Macaca fascicularis: one gene and its partners. Each later gene encodes a partner of the first gene's protein in a complex. Links are inferred from orthologs where the notes say so. Each region holds a gene or a part of one and is shown on either strand. Other genes may lie near its edges.

Evidence for each region.
Region 2: AKAP13 (region 1) and MAP2K3 share a complex: the UniProt entries of both Homo sapiens proteins name them as parts of the signaling complex. The link is inferred for Macaca fascicularis from reciprocal best matches to the Homo sapiens genes AKAP13 and MAP2K3.
Region 3: AKAP13 (region 1) and PKN1 share a complex: the UniProt entries of both Homo sapiens proteins name them as parts of the signaling complex. The link is inferred for Macaca fascicularis from reciprocal best matches to the Homo sapiens genes AKAP13 and PKN1.
Region 4: AKAP13 (region 1) and NOD2 share a complex: the UniProt entries of both Homo sapiens proteins name them as parts of the signaling complex. The link is inferred for Macaca fascicularis from reciprocal best matches to the Homo sapiens genes AKAP13 and NOD2.
Region 5: AKAP13 (region 1) and MAPK14 share a complex: the UniProt entries of both Homo sapiens proteins name them as parts of the signaling complex. The link is inferred for Macaca fascicularis from reciprocal best matches to the Homo sapiens genes AKAP13 and MAPK14.

The regions. Positions count from the first base shown.
Region 1 is NC_088381.1:70,017,354-70,020,865, reverse strand, and holds part of AKAP13 (A-kinase anchor protein 13), read right to left. Parts: coding exon 1,686-3,512; intron 1-1,685. UniProt on the Homo sapiens protein: Scaffold protein that plays an important role in assembling signaling complexes downstream of several types of G protein-coupled receptors.
Region 2 is NC_088390.1:20,712,131-20,716,375, reverse strand, and holds the start of MAP2K3 (dual specificity mitogen-activated protein kinase kinase 3), read right to left. Parts: upstream 2,808-4,245; 5' UTR 2,634-2,807; coding exon 2,585-2,633; intron 2,452-2,584; exon of another isoform or gene 2,225-2,451; intron 1-2,224. UniProt on the Homo sapiens protein: Dual specificity kinase. Is activated by cytokines and environmental stress in vivo. Catalyzes the concomitant phosphorylation of a threonine and a tyrosine residue in the MAP kinase p38.
Region 3 is NC_088393.1:14,864,337-14,868,531, reverse strand, and holds the start of PKN1 (serine/threonine-protein kinase N1), read right to left. Parts: upstream 2,812-4,195; 5' UTR 2,710-2,811; coding exon 2,482-2,709; intron 2,331-2,481; exon of another isoform or gene 2,132-2,330; coding exon of another isoform or gene 2,111-2,131; intron 1,917-2,110; exon of another isoform or gene 87-1,916; intron 1-86. UniProt on the Homo sapiens protein: PKC-related serine/threonine-protein kinase involved in various processes such as regulation of the intermediate filaments of the actin cytoskeleton, cell migration, tumor cell invasion and transcription regulation.
Region 4 is NC_088394.1:46,666,539-46,670,050, reverse strand, and holds part of NOD2 (nucleotide-binding oligomerization domain-containing protein 2), read right to left. Parts: intron 2,513-3,512; coding exon 2,407-2,512; intron 1-2,406. UniProt on the Homo sapiens protein: Pattern recognition receptor (PRR) that detects bacterial peptidoglycan fragments and other danger signals and plays an important role in gastrointestinal immunity.
Region 5 is NC_088378.1:135,643,545-135,647,611, reverse strand, and holds the start of MAPK14 (mitogen-activated protein kinase 14), read left to right. Parts: upstream 1-1,260; 5' UTR 1,261-1,657; coding exon 1,658-1,773; intron 1,774-1,889; exon of another isoform or gene 1,890-2,000; intron 2,001-4,067. UniProt on the Homo sapiens protein: Serine/threonine kinase which acts as an essential component of the MAP kinase signal transduction pathway.

The DNA of each region.
Region 1 (3,512 bases):
TAATAAAAATCAAAGTCTGAAATTCTCCCTGGTTTTTACTTTTTCTCATAGGATACTACAGACACAATCCCCACAGAGTTCACACTTGCTTGAGTTAAATTCTGACCACTGAGCCAGAAAGAGAAATAATTCTAGCCCATGTGGCCAAGGACACAGCACCCAAATGAAAAGAACATCGCCAGGCATCAGCTTACAGCCACTCCCATTCTTCTGAAATGCCAACCTGCCAGGGCCCCCAAAATAGACTTGTTGTTGTGGCTTTCTTTTAAAAAAGTAGAGACCTTCTCATTTAAATTCTGAGACAACAGTCAACAAATATTTATCACTAACAATCCAAAACATTAATAAAACTAAAAAGCTAAAGTCATCAAAAATTCTGGGATTCCTTAAATCCCTCAACTGGGGAGGGAAAAGATTATAAATGGCTAAAAGCCCTTTACTAGGGAAAATGACCACTGTATTTAAATTGCGCTTCTTCCAAAGCAACTTCTTTTGCTCCATTGATTCATTTCTCTCCATAACCCTCCCCCACACTCTTAATACATACATGTAAAGGGATTTTCAAAAATTGAAAAGAACAGCAAAAATAAACAATAAAGACAAAACAGGCTACTTCTTACCTACAAAAGCCTAGGGGCAAGCATGGAGATGGGTATTCCGTCTACAGCTGGTAACAGGTGGTGGTATAAAAGTGTGCATCAAACTGACCTTTAAAGACTTCAAGAGTCGAGATTGTGTCCGACTCCCGTTTCAGCTTCAGCCTCAACCCCGGATAAGAAGTTTTATTCAGATAGTTTATTTCCACCGAGCAATAGCGGTTTCTCTTTGCTGTCTCGGAACATGATTACCCACAGATGGAACAGGCTGCTGTGTGAGCAATCTGCTCAGTGCAGCTGCTTCACCAAGATAAAGCAGACACAAGGTCTGCCCTGTGACAGCAGCTCAGCAGACTGGGCTTGGGCGGAAATCCTGCATCCTATCCCCTGCACTGTGCAGGGTCTTGAATTCCCAGACTGCTGCCCAAAAGCAACAGGCAATGGAACTAGAGGTCCGTTCCCCAAGCAGGAAAAGGAAGGAGTTCCCTGTCAACAACACCCCTAGCTCAAAAAAAATAATAATAAAATAAAAGCACACAAAAAAACCAATGACCTAATACCACCATTCTGGGTGTTGAGATGTCAGGTTAGAACAATACTTATAGCTGTTCATGAAACCACTCTGACTCTAAATTTGCTCAGAATACAGACTAGGATGACAGGGGAGGAAGGGAGTTTCAGGCTTGTAAATAGAACACAGCTTTTTGGCACTGTTTTCTATGGTACCAGAGAAAAGGATTAAGCCATGTGAATAAAAACATCTGCTAAATTCCTTCATCATTTTGGAATACCTGTGATCTAGGCATTGTTTTCCAGGTTTGCAAAGTTGCAACCACTCCAGAATGACAGATAAGAGTGTTTATAAGCTTAAGCAACCAAGCAGTTAAGTCTACAACACAGGAAACAAAATCTGTGCAACCCTGAGATGACGTGCCTCTCCTGATGGTGGTGACTATTAACTTGACTACCCACCCAATGAGTGCAAGACCTCAAAACAACAAAGATGCCTATATTTTTACCAGGACACCACAGTGACTCTTAAGGGAATCTGCTGCTCAGACTGCTAATTTTGTATTATGTTTTGCTTACCTGTTGCTGGCTCAGGCCCTTGGACAGGTAAAATAATCTTCTCTGGCTCCTCCCTTTCAGCAAAACATCCTGCAAGGCTCCCTGTGGCTTCCTCAGGAGTACAGCCCATTGGCAGGCTCTCCCCAGGTGGGAAAGTACTCACTTTTTCTGTAAAAGCATTCTCTAGCCCTTCAGTGAGAGGACCCAACAACTTAGGCCTGGACAGTGACATTTGACAGGCCTCCCCCTCAGTAAGCAGTGCTCCAGCGGCCTTGACTTGTTCGATGACGGCATCCACTATACGGCTGGCAGCCTCCTCTATCAAGTCTGCTCCCTTAGGCAGAGGTGTGGCCTGGGCAGAGACCATGCAAGGTAGAGAGGGAGTGCTCCTTTCCCCGCCTGAGGGCAAGGCTTGCAGGACTTCCCTCGCGCCAGCTGGGGCCTCATCATCATGGGATGAGAGCCCCATGTCTGTGGGGAGCTCTTTGGCAGCAGGCTGCAGTAGGACAGGATGTGCTTCAGTGTCTATCTGGGCTTCCTCAGCATCGCCCCTGGTACAGCTGTGGTCTGCTCCCTCCAGCTTCCCTTTCTCCCAATCAAGAGGTACCATCTCTGGGGTTCCAACTCCCTGTGGGTCAGTCACAGCTTTGTCCCGTAAAGCTACTGGCAAACCCAGGATGACATTCTTCTCTTGGTTCAACAAGACGTCTGGAATCAGGATATCTTGGGTGTTGTGTGATACATTCTTTCTTCTGGGAACAGCCATCCCTTGTAGAGCATTAACCTGTGTAACATCCACCGTCACATTTCCATTCACCTCACAGGCACTAGTTTTCCCCTGGGATTGGGTGTTCTTTACTCCAACATCCAGAGGAGAAGGTTGACTGCAATTAAGAGCCTCAGACCCATTAGATCCATCTGGCAACAGACATGGCAACAAAGTGGAGCTGTTGTGCTCTGCACCCAAGGCTTCCTGCCTTAAGTCTGTGGCCAGACTCGCTCCTGGTGGCACCAGGCTCTGGGCAGCCCCACCTTGAATCAGCAGTGAGACTTGTGGGGCCACTTCCTTGTTATGTTCAGTTTCTGCCTTAAGACAGACAGAGGGTGCACCCGGTGAATTACTTAGCTGAAGTGCTTTGTCCTTGGCACCATCAACTGAGACCGATTTTTCATGAAATTGTAGAGTCTCCTGTCTGGGAGGTGGTGTTCTCTGCTCTTCCTGCAACATTCCTGAAGAAAGAGCATTTTCCTTAATGGAGGAACAGGTCACTGCTATATCCTTATCTTGTTTCTGAGTTGCAGAGCTTTCTGAAACCACCAGAAGTTTTCCCTCTTCTGTCAAAACTGAATCTAAAGCCAAAGTGGCCTTACCCACACTTTGCAGGGAAGAGTCAGTGTCCCCCTTGATATTCAGAGCTTCTGGGATTGCTGGAGGGGCGGGACCCTCACGCTCTCCACCAAGTCCTGTGAGACTGGTATTCCCCATCCCACGCTGAAGCTCTGCAGCAGTGGAGGACGTGGACAGGTCTGCTGCCCTATCTTCTAGTGGCTGTGTATCAGGCTCATTCGAATCTCCGTCTGGGCCATCTCTACAATCTGTAGCCATATGTAGTTCAGGAGTTGCTGTTCCCTTTTCTTTCTGGGAGGGGACAAAAGAAAGTGCGTCATCCTTGGTTACTGATTCACTGCCTGGATTGTTTGCCAGAGAGAAAGTACTATCTGATATTACTGCCTGGTCTGGCACCAGTTCTTTCTCCATTTTAGGGACAACTGGATGTGGATGTGAAACCACCTCAAGCATATTTGTTAAAGGTTTATCTAGTTTCACATCTTTTCGTTGGCCTTTGT
Region 2 (4,245 bases), on another chromosome or scaffold:
CCCATGGCAGGAAGGATAGGGCAGGGTACCTGCTGCAAGGCAGGAAGCTCAAAGGTAAAGCTCCAGTAAGGTCAAGCGCCAGCCACTCCCTGCTTTGTTCAAATTCCTTTGAGAAGGTGGAGAAGGGCTCAGTGCTGGGAGGCCCAGTGCCCAGGATGGGGCAGGCACGGGGTGAGGATCTCCACCTGTGGGAGCAGTTCGGCTACTCCATCCAAGCTCAGTTCTGCATCTGTCAAATGAGTGGGATTTTGCAGCGAGTATGCAACAGGCCCAGTGTAAAGCACTGTGCACAAGAGCAGCAGCACCTCTGCCTCAGTCTGTCCTCTAGGTCTGACATGGCCATGAGGACAGGCCCACTGCACATGCTCTGAGCAAGGCCAGGGGTGGGGGCACCCCACCAGCTCAGCTCAGGCATCCAGCATGGGAGGGGCACATAAGGGAGCACGGAGAAGGCCACTGTGGGGATGCAGTCCTAGGGGGAACCCTAGCTCCGCCTGTCACAGCTGCGTGGCCTCAGGCAAGGCACTTAACGCCTCAGTTTCCTTGTCTATAAATGGGGCTATGAGGAATAAATGAGAAAATGCATGGCACATGGAAAAAAAGAAGAAGCTCATAGCGTTTTTGGTGAAGGGCATTGCGGCTCTGTCACCACATCCTTCCCCAGATCCCAAAGAGACTACAGGGTCGCTGGGCCTGAGGGAGGTCCCTGACCCTCCATCCAGCTCCCTCAATTTCATCTGCGACCTGGGTCCCTATCTAGAAGTTCATCTTGGCCCTCTCACAGCGTTCTCACCACATCTATGACCCCTCTCCCTTCACAACTCTGCAACTGGAACTTTTATTTTGATCAGGCATTCTCTGCCTGGAGAGCTAAAAAGCCTCCAAAACAAACAGGGCTTCCTACCCTTCCCCAGGCTCTCCAGAGTGGAGAAGTGTCTGATTTCCTGGTTCCCAAGCTCCACGAGGTCTGGGCAGTGCAAGTCCCTCCCCAGACACCTCCCCCCTCAAGTGCCTCCTGAGTTACTCACAGTGGTTGGGCAATGGTCAGGGATCCGGCCTCCCACTTATGTAAGGCATAATTATCCTGCCCACCCGGCTCCAGCCACCACAGCAGCCAGCAGCAGGGGCCAGGAAGAGCCCGTGCCCTCCCCAAGCCCCCACAGGGCTCCCACTGGCCTGCGCCCTCCAGAGCAGAAGAGCGGCTGATCCCCGATGAGGGGCCCACTAGGTGCCCGCTGCTAGATGCTTCCTCCTGCTCACTCTGCGGCTGCAGTTCCAGCAGTGGAGGCCTTTCCAGCAAGAAGAATGGAAACAATAGCGAGATGTGTGCAGCCAGTGTCCCCTGGTGAGCACCGGCTCTCCGCCAGGCGCTATGCTGAGTGAACACCTCAGAGCTCTTTTGTATTCACCACCCCACGCCACACTCCCGCGTCCACAGAAGCAGGTGTGATTACTTCCAATTTACAGAAAAGGAAACTGAGGCCCAGAGACACCAGGGAGCTTGCTGGGGTGAAGCAGCTGCAGGTTCAGCTAGGCAGGAGGCAGCCCATTCATTACGGCTACGTCCGGTTTGGAAATCTCTCACACAACCCAGCCTACTGAAACTCCGACGCACCAAAAACATCCTTTCCTCTTCCTGAAAAAAAAATTCCCCTTTTGCCCTCCGAGTCTCATCCTTCCCCCTCCGCATGACAAATCCTGCTGCTGCTGCCACCTCACAAAAATTTCCAGGAAGGCCAGCTACTTGGAGAAGAGCAAATCCCTTGCACAGCCAGCACCCTGGCCTGGCGGTTGGCCCAGATCCCAGGCAGCCAGGAGAGGAATAAGATGGGGTGAGAACCCCAAGTGCAGGGAGAAGCTTGCAACTCAAGACAGAGAGAAGCCAGTAGAGAGGGGGCTGTACCTTAGGGAGGGGTGGGAGGACAAGGGAGGTTCCTGGGAGCACAGGGCTGCAGGACAGGGTGCAGGCCAGCCAGGGAAGGGGCAACATAGGGCCTATAAGGATAAGAAGAGCTGGAGGAGAGAAGGACGGGGAGTTCCGAGCTGGGGTGTAGCCAGAGCACCCGCATAGCGGGTACAGTGAGGTCCGAAACAACAGAAGCACTCTGGGGCCCAGATGGAGACTTAAGTTAAATCCCAGCCTGGATACAGCCCTGGGACCCCAAGTTGGAAATGGGAGTGGGTGCTGCCCAAGGACGCAGATGGAGGCCAGTGTGAATCTCACCTGGGTCCCTCTGAGGGAGAAGACTGAGAGAGTTCCTGTCCAGGCTACAGCCATAAGGCCCAAATGAGGTCAGAGTGAGGCTCCTGACTTGGATGGGGTGAGCAGAACAAAGTCCTAGTCTGGGTCCAGCCTGGGTGATCTCGGGCCTGAATGCAGTCCCAAGGCCTAACCTGGGGGTCCAGGTGAGGACCCAGGCTGCGGCCGGTCCCGGGGCCCCGAACAGGAAGGGGTTCCGGGACCGGACGCCGCTGCCAGGTCGAGAACAGGATGGGGTGGGACCAAAGAAATTCGGTCGGGGTTTGCAGCCCGGCCCCAGATTGGGCGCGGGGTCAGGCCGAGGTTCCGGCCGGGATCGCCTACCTTTGGACTGGGGCATGCTGGCGGGCTGGCTTGAGGCGGGCGACTCCATGCTGCAAGCTGGTCCTGGACGGCGGTGGGGACTAATCTAGAGGACTGCGGGCTCCACCGGGGCCGAGCACGCTCATGGCTGCGGGCAGACGGCCCGGGCCAGGCGGAGGAGCAGAGGCGGCGGCGGCGACTACTGCAGGGACGAGTCCGCGACGGGCGGCGCCGGAGCCAGACTGGGCAGCGCCGGGGGGACCCCGGCCGAACGGCGCTGACTCAGGCCCCGCCCCTGCGTGTCCGATTGGCCCTTTCGTTTCCAAGGCCCGTCCCCTGCCTATCAGACGCCGGTCTGTCCCTGCCTGTCAATTACACGCCCCACCCTCCGTGGGCCCAGGATCCGGGCCCCTCCCGCTCTCTGTCAAGTCTGCCAGCCGCCCGAAAAACCCAAGTCCGGTCAGGCTCCGCCCACCTGGACTAAAGCCGCGCCCCTCGCGCTGCCCGTCAACACGCAAGCCCCACCCACTCCCGGGACCCACTGAGCCCGCTGCTCCTTGCAAGCGCCAGGCTCCGCCCAGCACCCCCAGACGCGCAGCCCCGGCGGGTGCGATGAGTGGGCGCGTTCTCCCGGGTGCGTCGTCTGGAAAAAACCCGAGATCCCTAAAGGTGGCACGGCTGGGCCTGGCGAGGCGGGCGGGGGTTAAAAGTGCGCTGCTGGGCTGCCTCCTGGCTCTCTGAACCTGCAGCTGCCTCACCCCAGCAAGCTCCCTGGTGTCTCTGGGCTTCAGTTTCCTTTTCTGTAAATTTGACCCGGGTTCAGATGCGAGTCGGCAACTTTGTAGCGGAACTAGCCTTGGTCAGGTCGTGACACCTGAGCCTCAGTCTACGCATCTGTGAGCGGGCGGCGGTGACAGCCGTCTGACGGCGCTGCCCGCTGACACGCACTGAGGGCCCGGCGCCAGCAAACGTCCGCCCGCGCCCGCGCTCCAGGCGCCCGGCCAGGGCGCGGGGTTGGTGGTGAGCTCAGCGATGCCCGGTGACGAGGCAGCACGAGGAGTTGTCGTGGCTGGTTGTTGCTGCCCCTGTTCTACACCGGGGGAAACTGTCTCAGAGGGAGTGAGGCAGCATGCGGTGCATTTTATCCCACGAGCCCGGAGGCCCCATCCTGGCTCTCTCCTGGACCTTGGTTCTCTCCTCTCCTCCTAAGATCTCAGTCTGCCCATCTGTATAATGGCTGGATGGACCAGTCCTCTCTTTGCTCCCACACGGAACCTTGGGGGATTTCAGGAACCGCTGACCAATCTGGCGCTGGGATCAGATGACTCTGGATGTAAAGTCAGGGCTAGTGAAGGCAGAAGGTACCAGGCAAAGGTCAAGGGGTCAGCCCCTGGCCTCCAGGCAGACATGAGTGTGTACCCTGTCGGGGACCTCACGTGAGGGAAGCAGATTCCACCACCTGCTAGAAACGCTTGAGGCCGGGCCTGACCTCTGCTTGCCCAGGTGTAAAGTGGGGGTGATGCAGGGCCCCATGCACACAGAGCGGGGAGGGCCACATGAGATAGGAGGGAAGCCTTGCAGCCGTCACCATTCTCTTCCTGCGTCTCCTGTTCACAGGCAGTGGGATGGAAAATCATGAGTCTGGGGCTCAGACAGGTGTGAGTTCCAATACCAATTCCTCC
Region 3 (4,195 bases), on another chromosome or scaffold:
CTCCCCCAAAATAAATAAATATAAACAAGTAAATCAATCAGTAAGGACACAGATTCACACCCTGAGCTGCTGACCAGGACGCTTACCAGTAATGACTTCACAGCAGCCCCGCCTGCCAAGTGCTGGCCAGGTCTCGGTCTCTCTCTCCCATGAACACCCTCTTAGTCCCATTTTTCCTAGGTCAGAACCGAGGCTCAGAGAGGCGAAGGCACTGGGCCCAGGACACACAGCAAGGAAGTGTCAGCGTCGGAATTTAAGCCCAGGCTCACCAAATACCACCCTCACTCAGTCAGGCCCCACCCCATCCCCAGCAGGCAGAGGGAGGACACAGCCAAGAGCGGGGTCAGCTCAACTGGGGAAGTCCAGGCAGAGAGGAAAGGTGGCCTCCCTCGGCCCCACCTCCAGCAGCTGAGGTCTGTAATGCAGAGAGGGAGGGAGGCTGGGCTCCTGGGTTCTCCTCCCCTGAGTGACTCACTTCTTCCCAGGGCATACAGGTCACCTGAGGGCCACCAAGGCAAACCCAGGACTCAGGGGCCTGGCCTGGCCTATGGAGAACCCCTGCTCCTCTGCTGCCCACCATGGAGCGGAGACCTCAGACCCAGAGGACCTGCCTCCCAGAATCCCCATCTTGCCAGAGCAGCCAGGGACCTAGACCCCCACATCCGGAGATTTCAATGCCTTGGGCGTTTCCGGAATCTGGACAGGACATCCGTTTGCAGGACACAGAACAGACAGGCACACGTTGGGACAGATAGAGGGACAGGGCGGCAGGCCCAAGCAACCATGAGAGAGGGATGACCAGGAGGAGGGAAGAGACTAAGGAGGAGATGGGAAGGGGGGACCAGGGCGTGGGTCCAGCCTCACTGCAGGAATCACAGCCTGTCTGGGTCATGTGTGGGACGCGCCAAGCGCATGCATGCGCCCGGGGATTCCTACACAGCCCTCCCTGGGCCGGGGGTGGAGGCAGGGACCCCGGCCCATCCCGGCCCTGAGGTCTGACCTTGTGTGATCGGCAACACCAGATACGCCCAGCTCCTCGGCAAGGCCGGCAGGCCATCAGCAGGACTGGGGAGGTGGGAGGGACCGGGGGTTACGGGGGAGACACAGAGGGGCAGGGGGCAGGTGCAGAAGGAGACGAGAACCCAGTTACACAACAGCCACAGGACGATGAACTGGATGGTGAGGTGCAAATGGGGGCACCGAGGCACAGACATTTCTCAGATTTGGGTCACTTGAACCAAAGAAGGTTGGCAGTCACGCTGGCCCTGCTTGTCACAGACGGGGAAGATGAGTCCAGGTCAGTGATACCAACCAGGTGGCACGGGGGAATCTGGCTGGGCAGAAGGCTGGTGCCAGTCACGTGTGTGTGTTAGGAGGGTGGGGGTGACCCAGCCCTGCCCAGCCACCATGCAAAAAAGTAGGATTCTATATATGGGAGCATCCCTGGCCTGTTGACTGAGGCACTCCCCACCCGGGAGAAGGTTCCACCTGACAGTCCAAGAGTAGGAGCGGGGGTCCCCAGTCCCCCGACCTAATGCAGTGACTCGGGTACTTCCGCCAACAGGTGCCAATCTGGGTGGCGTCTGGAACACTATAAAGCTGTCTAGAGGCGGGGGTGGCTGGAGCTTTGTTATGCGGGGGAAGGGCACGGGCCGGGCCCGGCGGCCTCCTCCCCTCCCACGGCACTGCGCCAGGCACCTGCCCCAGGTGGAGCGGCACCTGCCGGGCACCCAACCCTGGGGAGGGGGATGAGTTTGGGGGCGGACGAGAGGCACCGGGACTCCCAGCCAGCCACAGACACCCGAAGTAGAGCCTCCGCCGCGCCCCTTCTAGTTCTCTGGGAGAGGCCGAGTTTGGGGGTGCAGCGGGGGGTGCCTCCGAGATTGCCCCCAAACCAGCCCCGTCCACATCGCCACCTGCCGAGAAGGGGGCCTCGCTGGCTCCACAGTCCCGGCCCAGGGAGGGGGCGCCGGGCGCTCCGGAGGTCCCCGCCCTAGCCATCGCCACCCGAGTCCCGTTCGGGGGGCTGGGGGGCTCCCCCGGGAGCGCGAGGGCGGGGTCCCCTGGAGCCGTCCGGTCGCCCCGGGACTCCAGACGCAGGTGCGCCTACCTGCAAGGCGTCGCTGGCCATGTCCTCCTGCCGCCCGCCAGGGGTCCCCGCGCGGAGGGAGGGGCGGCCAGAGGAGCGCGCGTGCGCCCCGGGCGTGGCGGGGAGGGGGCGGGCGCGGCGCGACCCTCCCCGGCCCGCGGCCCGCTCCGGCCTGCTAGGCTCCCGCCTCGCCTGCCCAGGCCGCCGCGTCCCCGCGCCGCGCCCTCCAGCCCCAGCGGCCGCCGGGCCCGGTCACGTGACCCCGGAGGTCGGCGCCCGGGGAGGGGGCGGGGCCGAGGGGGAGGGGCTCCCAGAGGCCCCCGGGGCTGCGGGGTCCCGCCCGCCCGCCCCCTCAGTCTCCCGAGCTCGGAGCACCCCGATCGGCTCCCCACCTTTCCTCTTTCCGGGTCCTGCGACGACCGCACGCTGCCGAGAGGTCCCCCATTGGAGCGCGCGGGAACCCGAGGAGAACGGTTCCCCGCGTTCAAGCCGAGAGCGGCGGAGGCCTTTGGGCCTCCCAGAACCCCTGAAAAAAAAAAAATAACCCCCCCACCCCACCCCATCCCTGTGCATTTGCAAGCTCGGGACGCCTGCATCTGTGGTCCCCTATTCAAGGGCATGGAAGTTTCCCCGTTACCTGGAGACAAGCTCTGGGCAGATCTGCATTCAAATGCCAGCGCTTTACGCCTTGGGGAAGCCAAATCCTTCCAGGCACCTCATCTGTGAAATGGGAATGATGCGCTCACCTCCTAGGTGTTGGTAAAATTCAATGAGACAGTGCAGGCCAAGAGCTGAGAACACTCTAGACGCTCCATAAGTGTTAGCTGCTGTCACTTTTAATGTTATCGTAATTGTTTGTTGTTTTGCTGTTTTTGGACGGAGTTTCGCTCTATTGCCCATCCTGGAGTGCAGTGGTGCGATCTCGGCTCACTGCAACCTCTGCCCCCCGGGTTCAAGCGATTCTTCTGCCTCAGCCTCCTGAGTAGCTAGGATTACAGATGCCCGCCATCATGCCCGGCTAATTTTTATATTTTTAGTAGAGATGAGGTTTCATCATGTTGGCCAGGCTGGTCTCAAACTCCTGATCAGGTGATCCGCCCGCCTCGGTCTCCTAAAGTGCTGGGATTACACAGGCTTGAGCCACTGCGCCTGACCTCTATTATCGTTATTGTTATTAAAAGAGGTTTGAATCCCAACTCGCTGTTCATCCTGGGAACCCCTGTGGCCTCTGAGTCTCAGTTTTCCACACAATAAAATGGGCACCGCCTTCTTTTTCGGGGCTGCTGCATGCAGATGGCGCTCCATAAATGCAGACTCGTGCCCATGCGGAGAGTGGAGGCCTCTGAGGAATTTCTAGGGGATCTCCGGGGTCTGCAGAGCGTGCAGCTTTGTTTACGGCTGCCGTCGGACCCTCACTCCTTCGGAAACCAGGCGAGGGAGCCAAACCTTGGTCTCCGGGGCTCCGGCGGGGAGCGCTCCCTGGCGGCGGTGTCTGCACATTGGCGCCCTTTGGGACCCGAGGAAGCGCCGTGGGCTGTGGGTACCTTAGCTACGCGTGGCTCTGCGTGGTTTCAGTCGTCCCGGAAACCAGGGCGCGATGTTTTCTCTCTTATTTTTTCATCTGAGCAACTCTTTGGGGGATATTAACAACAGAAAGAGAGAAGGAGGAGAATATTCTGATCTAGAATCCATCCAGCCAGGCATGGTAGCGCATGCCTGTAGTCCCAGCTACCAGGAGGCTGAGGCAGGAGGATCGCTTGAGCTCAAGAGGCCGAGAATGCATCACTGTGGGGAGCAATCATGATGCCCCTGCACTCCAGCCTGGGTGACAGAGCGAGACCTTGTCTAAAAAAAAGAAAGAAAAAAAAATGTCTGGGTGCAGTGGCTCACCCCTATAATCCCAGCCCTTTAGGAGGCCAAGGTGGTGGTGGGTGGATCACTGGAGGTCAGGAGTTCGAGACCAGCCTGGCCAATATGGTGAAACCCGTCTCTACTAAAAAATATAAAATTAGCTGAGTGTGGTGGCGTGTGCCTGTAATCCCAGCTACTTGGGAGGCTGAGGCAGGAGAATGGCATGAACCCAGTAGGCGGAGGTTGCAGTTAGAC
Region 4 (3,512 bases), on another chromosome or scaffold:
GTCAGTTTCCACCTCTGTAAGGTGGGAGAAATGTTGATCTCTACCTTACAGACTTTTTACACGGATCAACTAAGATGACGTATGTCAAGTGCTCAGCACAGTGCTCAACACAAAGTAAGTCCAAAGACATCAGTGACTGCCGTTATCATTACTCACACCAGGAGGAGTTGTAGATGATGGGAAGGGGCTCTAGGCTGGGATCAGAAGACCTGTATTCTGATATCTGTCCTGCCATAATGGCCAGGTGGCTTTGGATAAATCCCTTCACCATTCACTCTCAGTTAACTTTTTCTAAGGGGAACAAAGGGCTTCAGGGCTCAGGAGCCCAGTCTCTGAAGTCTGACACACCGGAGCGTGAAAACCTGCGTCCACCACACACTTGGGCAAGCCATTTAGCCTTTCTGGGCCTCAGTTCTCTCATCTGTAAAAATGGGGACAATATACACCTGGAAGGATTGTTTCAGGAGGCAGTGAGATAAAATAGAGTTTAAAAGAATATCTGACATGGCAAACTCTCAAAAAATGGTGCTTATTATCATTATTATTCATGGCTATAGTAGGCACAACAATAGACCCTCGAAGATGTCCGTGTCCCGATCCTCAGAACCTGTGAATATGTTACCTTATGTGGCAAAAGGAACTCTGCAGATGTGATAAAGTTAAACTTCGAGATGGGGAGATGAGCCTGATTGATCTGGGTGGGCCTAGCAATAGAAGGCCTCGGGGTCACCAGGGTGCCCCAGCTGAGCACTAGAATGAGAGTCTGTGATCCTGCCTCCACTTCCTCATCCTCCCCATGCACCCCATGCAGGGAGAGTTTTCATGCACAGGGTGTGTTTGGAAGGCTACTGCTCTTCCTTTCTCATCCTGAAAGCAATGCGAGCGAGCCATTTCCTGTGTCAGGGTTTAGTTCCCCTTTCAGGAAACGGGGAAGTGCTGGTTTAGAGTCCCCGGCTGGTAGGAACTCAGCACGGTCCCCCGCCATCACAGCCTCACTGCCCCCAACCAAACACTGGCCCACTTATTTTCAACCCAAAAACTAACAAGTAATTTTCAGAGAGCTCTGAGCTCACTGACGACTATCTGCAGTCACACAAAGGGGACGCCCTGTGTTTACGTCACCTCTGTTGTTCCCAGAGTTGATGATTATTGCTGAGCTTTCTGCCCTCTGAATACACCAGGATCCCTGAACTTAGACCATAAGGTAAATATCTTCCTCTCCAATACATATCAGATATATATCTTCCTCTTCCGACCTGATTTCCAATGCAGGCTTTCCAGCCATCACCAATGATACTAAAATTCTCCGGAAAAAAAGAAAATGTCATTTTATAGAGAAATAAACACACCTTTAGAAGTGTGGGGAATCCTGCACCCTGGCCTGGTCTTACAGTGACCAGCTGTGCTTGATGATATCAACGGCAAACCTCAACCAAGGGCCAAACCAGGCCCCGCGCTCCATGCTGCTCAACCCCCCTGTGGTGCACTGATGTTTAGATCCCGTTCTTTGACGAGACAGTGCACTCGCGAGTGCCAGGCACAGACTTACAGCCACCCCTCCCACAGGTTTGCTTGCTGCCCACAGGGCAGGGCCCAGGGTGATAGACCCAACTGCCAGCACCACGCACAGCTCAGGGAGCTTCAGTGCCAATGAGCTTTCCCTACAGTGGTATAGGAACAAGCCCTAAAGAGTGCCAGACTTTTGCACCCTCTCTTTACAACTGACATTTCTTCTCCCAAGAAAAGAGAAAGTGTAGGTGGGGACAATTTACAATCAGACCCATCTCCCCCTCCCTTGTCACTTAACCTCCCTGCCCAGTTTCCACATCTATAAGGTGAAAAAACCACCACCTACTTCTCAGGGTTGTTGCAAAGGGTAGACATTGTCCATAAAGCACCCGGCAGGATGCCTGGTATGTTCAAGAGGTGCTGTCCAAGCTCCTCCTGTTCCTGAGTTTGGGTGGTGACCCTGGGCACTGAGGGATACCAGAGTCTCTAGATCCACTTGGTTCTTGAGTTTCCGATTGTGAGCTGCTAAATTTCAGAGATCAAGAGGTACCAGCCCTAACTCAAAACGCGTGTCCGTATCTTTTTGGTACAGATAACGAGAGTTTGGATGGTAAGTAACACCTTTAGTTAGCCTTCAGCATATGGTAGCTCCAATTGTCAGTGTACTGTGTGGGAGATAATGAAAGCTAATAGCTAACATCACACGCTTTTGTCCTTTTAATCCTCCTAAAATTGCAATGAGATAGGGGGTGGTGGTAGCCTTAAAACAAGGAAACTGAGTCACATGGAGGCTACACTGCCAGCATATGGGACGCTAACCGAGGTGTGTTCTACTCTTAACCATGGATCTGCACTGACTGCCCTTCCCTTTCTGATTAACTGAGAACATATACCTACCTTCCAAAGGCAGGGCCAACGGGACTGGTAATTCCTGAACATGTTGTAGAAGGAAGGCGGCCAATCCATTCGCTTTCACTGTGGCAAGATCGAGCAGCCTTCTTGCCTACGGGAAAGACAGAAGACATTGTTCCTCCAGGAAGGCTGATGGAGCAGTGTGGGAAGGCTTACTGATTACTACAACTTCATAAGCATCTCTCTTCTGTCCAGAATAAAAGGTCAGAAAAGCAACTGAACAACCACAGAAGTTTCAAGTCGTTAATAGTGTTGGATGGTGAATTGAACACACGCATCCAATCTGGCTCCTACCCAAAACTCACTGAAACAGTGAATAACTGAAAAATAAATGAAACAACATGAAGACATAAACCTACAAAGATAGGGAAAATGATTCTGTAGGCTGTACACCATTTGGAAGAGAAGTGATTTCATCAAGTCTCATGGATTGAATATTTGAATACAATCTCTGCTCAGACTCCCACATCTTCATCTCCAGCCTGAACTGTCCCCCTGAACCCTGGACTTACGCATCCAACTGCCTAGTTTCCATTTCCACTTAAAAGTTTCATAAACACCTCCAACATATTCAAAACTAAACTCCTAACCTGCCCACGCACCTGCCAAACCAACAGCCTTCCTCATCTTGGCTAATATTAACCCCATTCTTCCAGGTGCTCAGCCCCGAAGTCGTGGAATCACCCTCGAAGTCTCTCCTCTGTAATCTGTCAAATCCTGTTGACTCCACCTTCAAAGCACGTCCCAAAGAGCACCGTCCAACAGAAATAAAATGCAGGGCACAAATGCAAGCCGCATGTGGAATTTCAAATCCTCTAACAGACATATGTTTTAAAGTTAAAAGAAATAGATGAATTCACTTTAATCATATATTCTATTTAACCCACAATAGTCCAAACATTACCATTGCAACATGTAATCCATGTAGAAAATAGCAAAATATGGCCGAGCCTGGTGGCTCACGCCTGTAATTCCAGCACTTTGGGAGGCCAAGGCAGGCGGATCCCCTGAGGTCAGGAGTTCCAGAGTAGCCTGGACAACGTGGTGAAACTCCATCACCACTAAAAATACAAAAAATTAGCCAAGTGTGG
Region 5 (4,067 bases), on another chromosome or scaffold:
GTGAGTCCTGGGAACTTGCATCTTAAACTCCCAGGGTGATTTTTCTGCATGTAAGTTTAAGAACTATTAGGAGAGTTTGAATGGAAAGCCTCAGCTTTTTTTTTTTTTTTTTTTTTTTTTTTTGAGACGGAGTCTCCTTCTGACGCCAGGCTGGAGTGCAGTGGCGCGATTTTAGCTCACTGCAACCTCCGCCTCCCGGATTCAAGCAATTCTCCTGCCTCAGTCTCCCGAGAAGCTGGAACTACAGGCTCAAGCCACCATGCCCAGCTAATTTTTGTATTTTTCAGTAGAGACGGGGTTTCACCATGTTGGCCAGGATGGTCTCTATCTCTTGACCTCGTGATCCGACCGCCTCGGCCTCCCAAAGTGCTGGGATAACAGGCGTGAGCCACCGCGCCCAGCCCCTGGAAAGCCTCAGCTTTGATGCAGGGTTAACATTTGCCTTTGGGACATATTTCGTCAGCATCTCGAAGAGTAACCCACATGTAGAGTAACCCATATGTCCTTGAGCAGATGGGAATGCAACAGCCTTCTGGCCAGAACCTGTCTCTCACTTTTTTTTTTTTTTTTTTTTAATTTGAGACGGAGTTTCGCTTCTGTTTCCCAGGCTGGAGTGCAATGGCGCGATCTCGGCTCACCACAACCTCCACCTCCCGGGTTCAAGCGATTCTCCTGCCTCTGCCTCCCGAGTAGCTGGGACTCCAGGTGCGCGCCACCACGCCCGGCTAATTTTGCATTTTTAGTAGAGACGGGGGTTTCGCCATTTTGGTCAGGCTGGTCTCGAACTCCCGACCTCAGGTGATCCGCCCGCTTCGGCCTCCCAAAATGCTGGGATTACAGGCGTGAGCCACCGCGCCCTGCCACCTGTCTCTTTTTCATGCAAGTGTTTTTTGGAATTTGGGGGTTCAGCTGAGCAGGTGCTCCGCTGCTAGTAACTACTCGCAGTTAAAGATCTTTTGACTCTTTCCCCGACACGCTATTTGTCACTGTCGTTTTCCACCACAGAGCCAGGTATTTGCCCTGCCGGCCACGGTGGGGCGCGCGCGGCGTGTGCTGCCCGCTTATCTCTTCCTTCCCTGGTCCGCCTTCGCGCCCTTAAGGAGACAGTTCCTGGGAGTTTCTGCCTTTGGGCTCCAGTTGTTGCTCTCTTCTCGCGAGAACTGCCCCTCTCATCCTCTCCTCTCACGAAGCCCCGCCCGCGAAGAGGTTCCATATTGGGTAAAATCTCGGCTCTCGGAGAGTCCCGGGAGCAGTTCTCGCGAGAGTACTGCGGGAGGCTCCTGTTTGCTGGCTGTGGAACCGCGACCACTGGAGCCTCAGCGGGCGCAGCAGCTGGATCCGGAGTACTGCGACGCAGCTCGGAGTCGGCCTTGTAGGGACGAAGGTGCAGGGAGATCGCGGCAGGCGCAGCCTTGAGCGCCGGAGCGCGTCCCTGCCCTTAGCGGGGCTTGCCCCAGTCGCAGGGGCGCATCCAGCCGCGGCGGCTGACAGCAGCCGCGCGCGCGGGAGTCTGCGGGGTCGCGGCAGCCGCACCTGCGCGGGCGACCAGCGCAAGGTCCCCGCCCGGCTGGGCGGGCAGCAAGGGCCGGGGAGAGGGTGCGGGTGCAGGCGGGGGCCCCATAGGGCCACCTTCTTACCCGGCGACTGCCGCTGGAAAATGTCTCAGGAGAGGCCCACGTTCTACCGGCAGGAGCTGAACAAGACAATCTGGGAGGTGCCCGAGCGTTACCAGAACCTGTCTCCAGTGGGCTCCGGCGCCTATGGCTCTGTGTGGTGAGTGTCGCCGGGCCTGGGGCCGCTGTGGGCAGGGTGGCCCCTCGCGCCCGAGAGCCAGGCCTGCACGACTGCTCTGCGTTGCGTCAAGTGGCAGGAATTTTCCTCGGGGGAGGGCCTTGCTGCCCCTTCGAGCTCTGCCTGTTCTGCACCTCCTGCACCCCTCGCCCTGCACTCACGCGGGTATTGCGGTCCACCGTGTGCAGCGCTCAAGTCCGCTGCGAGAGGTAGGTGGTGGTGCTGGAGCTCGGTTCTGGCTAGCACCCTGCGCCTTCGCCTCTCGGAAGGTTGCTGCTCGGCGGCAGGCACCGGGGGAAGGGCTGCTTCCTTGGGGGTCTCCCTCCGGACCTGGAGCAGAAGGACCCTCTCCCGCGATGCGCCCACGCTGTGGCGCCGGACCCTGTCCTCTGAGCAGACAAGCTTGGGGAGCTGCCGGGAGAAGCAGAAGGGCAGAGCGCAACCCGAAGACTGCGGTCATCTAAACAAAACTGACCAGGAAGGGAGCTCTCTCCGGGCCTTTTTTTTTTTTTTTTTCCCCAAACCTCTGTCGAAATCCCATCTCGAGAAGTGTTCTTTTTGAATTCGCACTTGAATTAGCAGCGATCCATAGAGCTTAAAATACCGACTTTATCTCGGTGAACACTGTGCCAGCTTGAGTGGTGTGTTTCCGATTCGGTTGAAAGCGTATTTCCTTTCTGTGGAGGGGCGGCGGTGGTAGTGCCTGCAAGAACGCTGCAGCTTGAGAAACTGGCAGTCTCACTGATTAGTCACATACCACTGCTCATTTAAGTATTGTTCGACAAAACAGTTTTTTCATTTGGAGCAAGAAAGATTCAGATCTGTAAGGCGCCCTCAAGATCAAAAAATTATTAACAGTGCTAGGAGGTATTGTAAGTATTTTTTGAGATAATTCCTGCGAATACTGTGTTTTAAAAGTCCCTTTCAGAGTTTGCAGGGATTTATCTAGTTATCTGCATTTATGGCCTGAGGTACACGATGGTTTTCGTAAGGATATGGAACCACATAGAAAAGGAAGGGAAGAGATACTTTTTAGCTTTAATTTACACCGTGAGTGTGTTTTAAATTAAGTCGATACCATGTAATTTCCAGACCTGAAATATTTCACTAACTGCTCTCTAATTTTCAAGGTTTTATACCCTGTATTTTAGATTTTCTATAATTTAAAAGCTACGGATCTGAAACTAAATATCAGATTTAACTGTTAGCTTTTTCTGTGTTTTAGTAATTCGTATTGTATGCGTCATTTGAAAAGGGGCCTGTAAAATAGTTTTTTGTTTTGGAACAAATTCCAGGCTTTTGGATGTGTTAATCTTTAAATATGATTTCTGTGTTTCCCAAAGTCACATCATGAATTTCCTGTTTGGTAGAATCTTCTGGGTAATTGAGATTGTGCAATTGTGTCCAGTAACAGATCATATTGCATTTTCTAGTTCAAGCTGCTTAAGTTATGTTGCAGATGGCACCGTGCGTGACATCTTTCTCCCATTTTTACAGCATGGCAGTTTACATTTTAAAGGAATTTGCAGGATTTTACATTCAGAGTGTGTGTGTGTATAGTTGATTTGCAGCATTTTACATTCGATATATACATGTTAATATATGTATATCCATTCAGTATATACATATTATGTATATCTAGTTGATTTGCTAATTTTCAAAGATGTATTTGGATCATTGTTCTTTTAATATTTTATAGCTCATTAATATACTTCCATTTTTTCATTCTTGAATTGACACATTCATTTCTGTAGTATCACGTTTTTGTTTTCAATGCTATTTAAATTTTAATGGAGTGATAACAGCAGAATAACTCATCTATAGAGGGTTTGGGTGAACTCCAGTTGAATTCCTCGCAAAGGTTCAGTACTGTTGGTGACTAGCTCTGCACTGGAACAGGAGATCCAGATTTACAGTGAAGTACCATTAAAATTAACTCCACATTTCTTTAGTGGTATATTTTTCTGTGGTATAAAAGCCAGCAGAGGCCGGGCGCGGTGGCTCAAGCCTGTAATCCCAGCACTTTGGGAGGCTGAGACGGGCGGATCACGAGGTCAGGAGATCGAGAAAGTCCTGGTTAACACGGTGAAACCCCGTCTCTACTAAAAAATACGAAAAAGTAGCCGGGCGAGGTGGCGGGCGCCTGTAGTCCCAGCTAACCGGGAGGCTGAGGCAGGAGAATGGCGTAAACCCGGGAGGCGGAGCTTGCAGCGAGCCAAGATGGCGCCACTGCACTCCAGCCTTGGCGACAGAGCGAGACTCCGTCTCAAAATAAA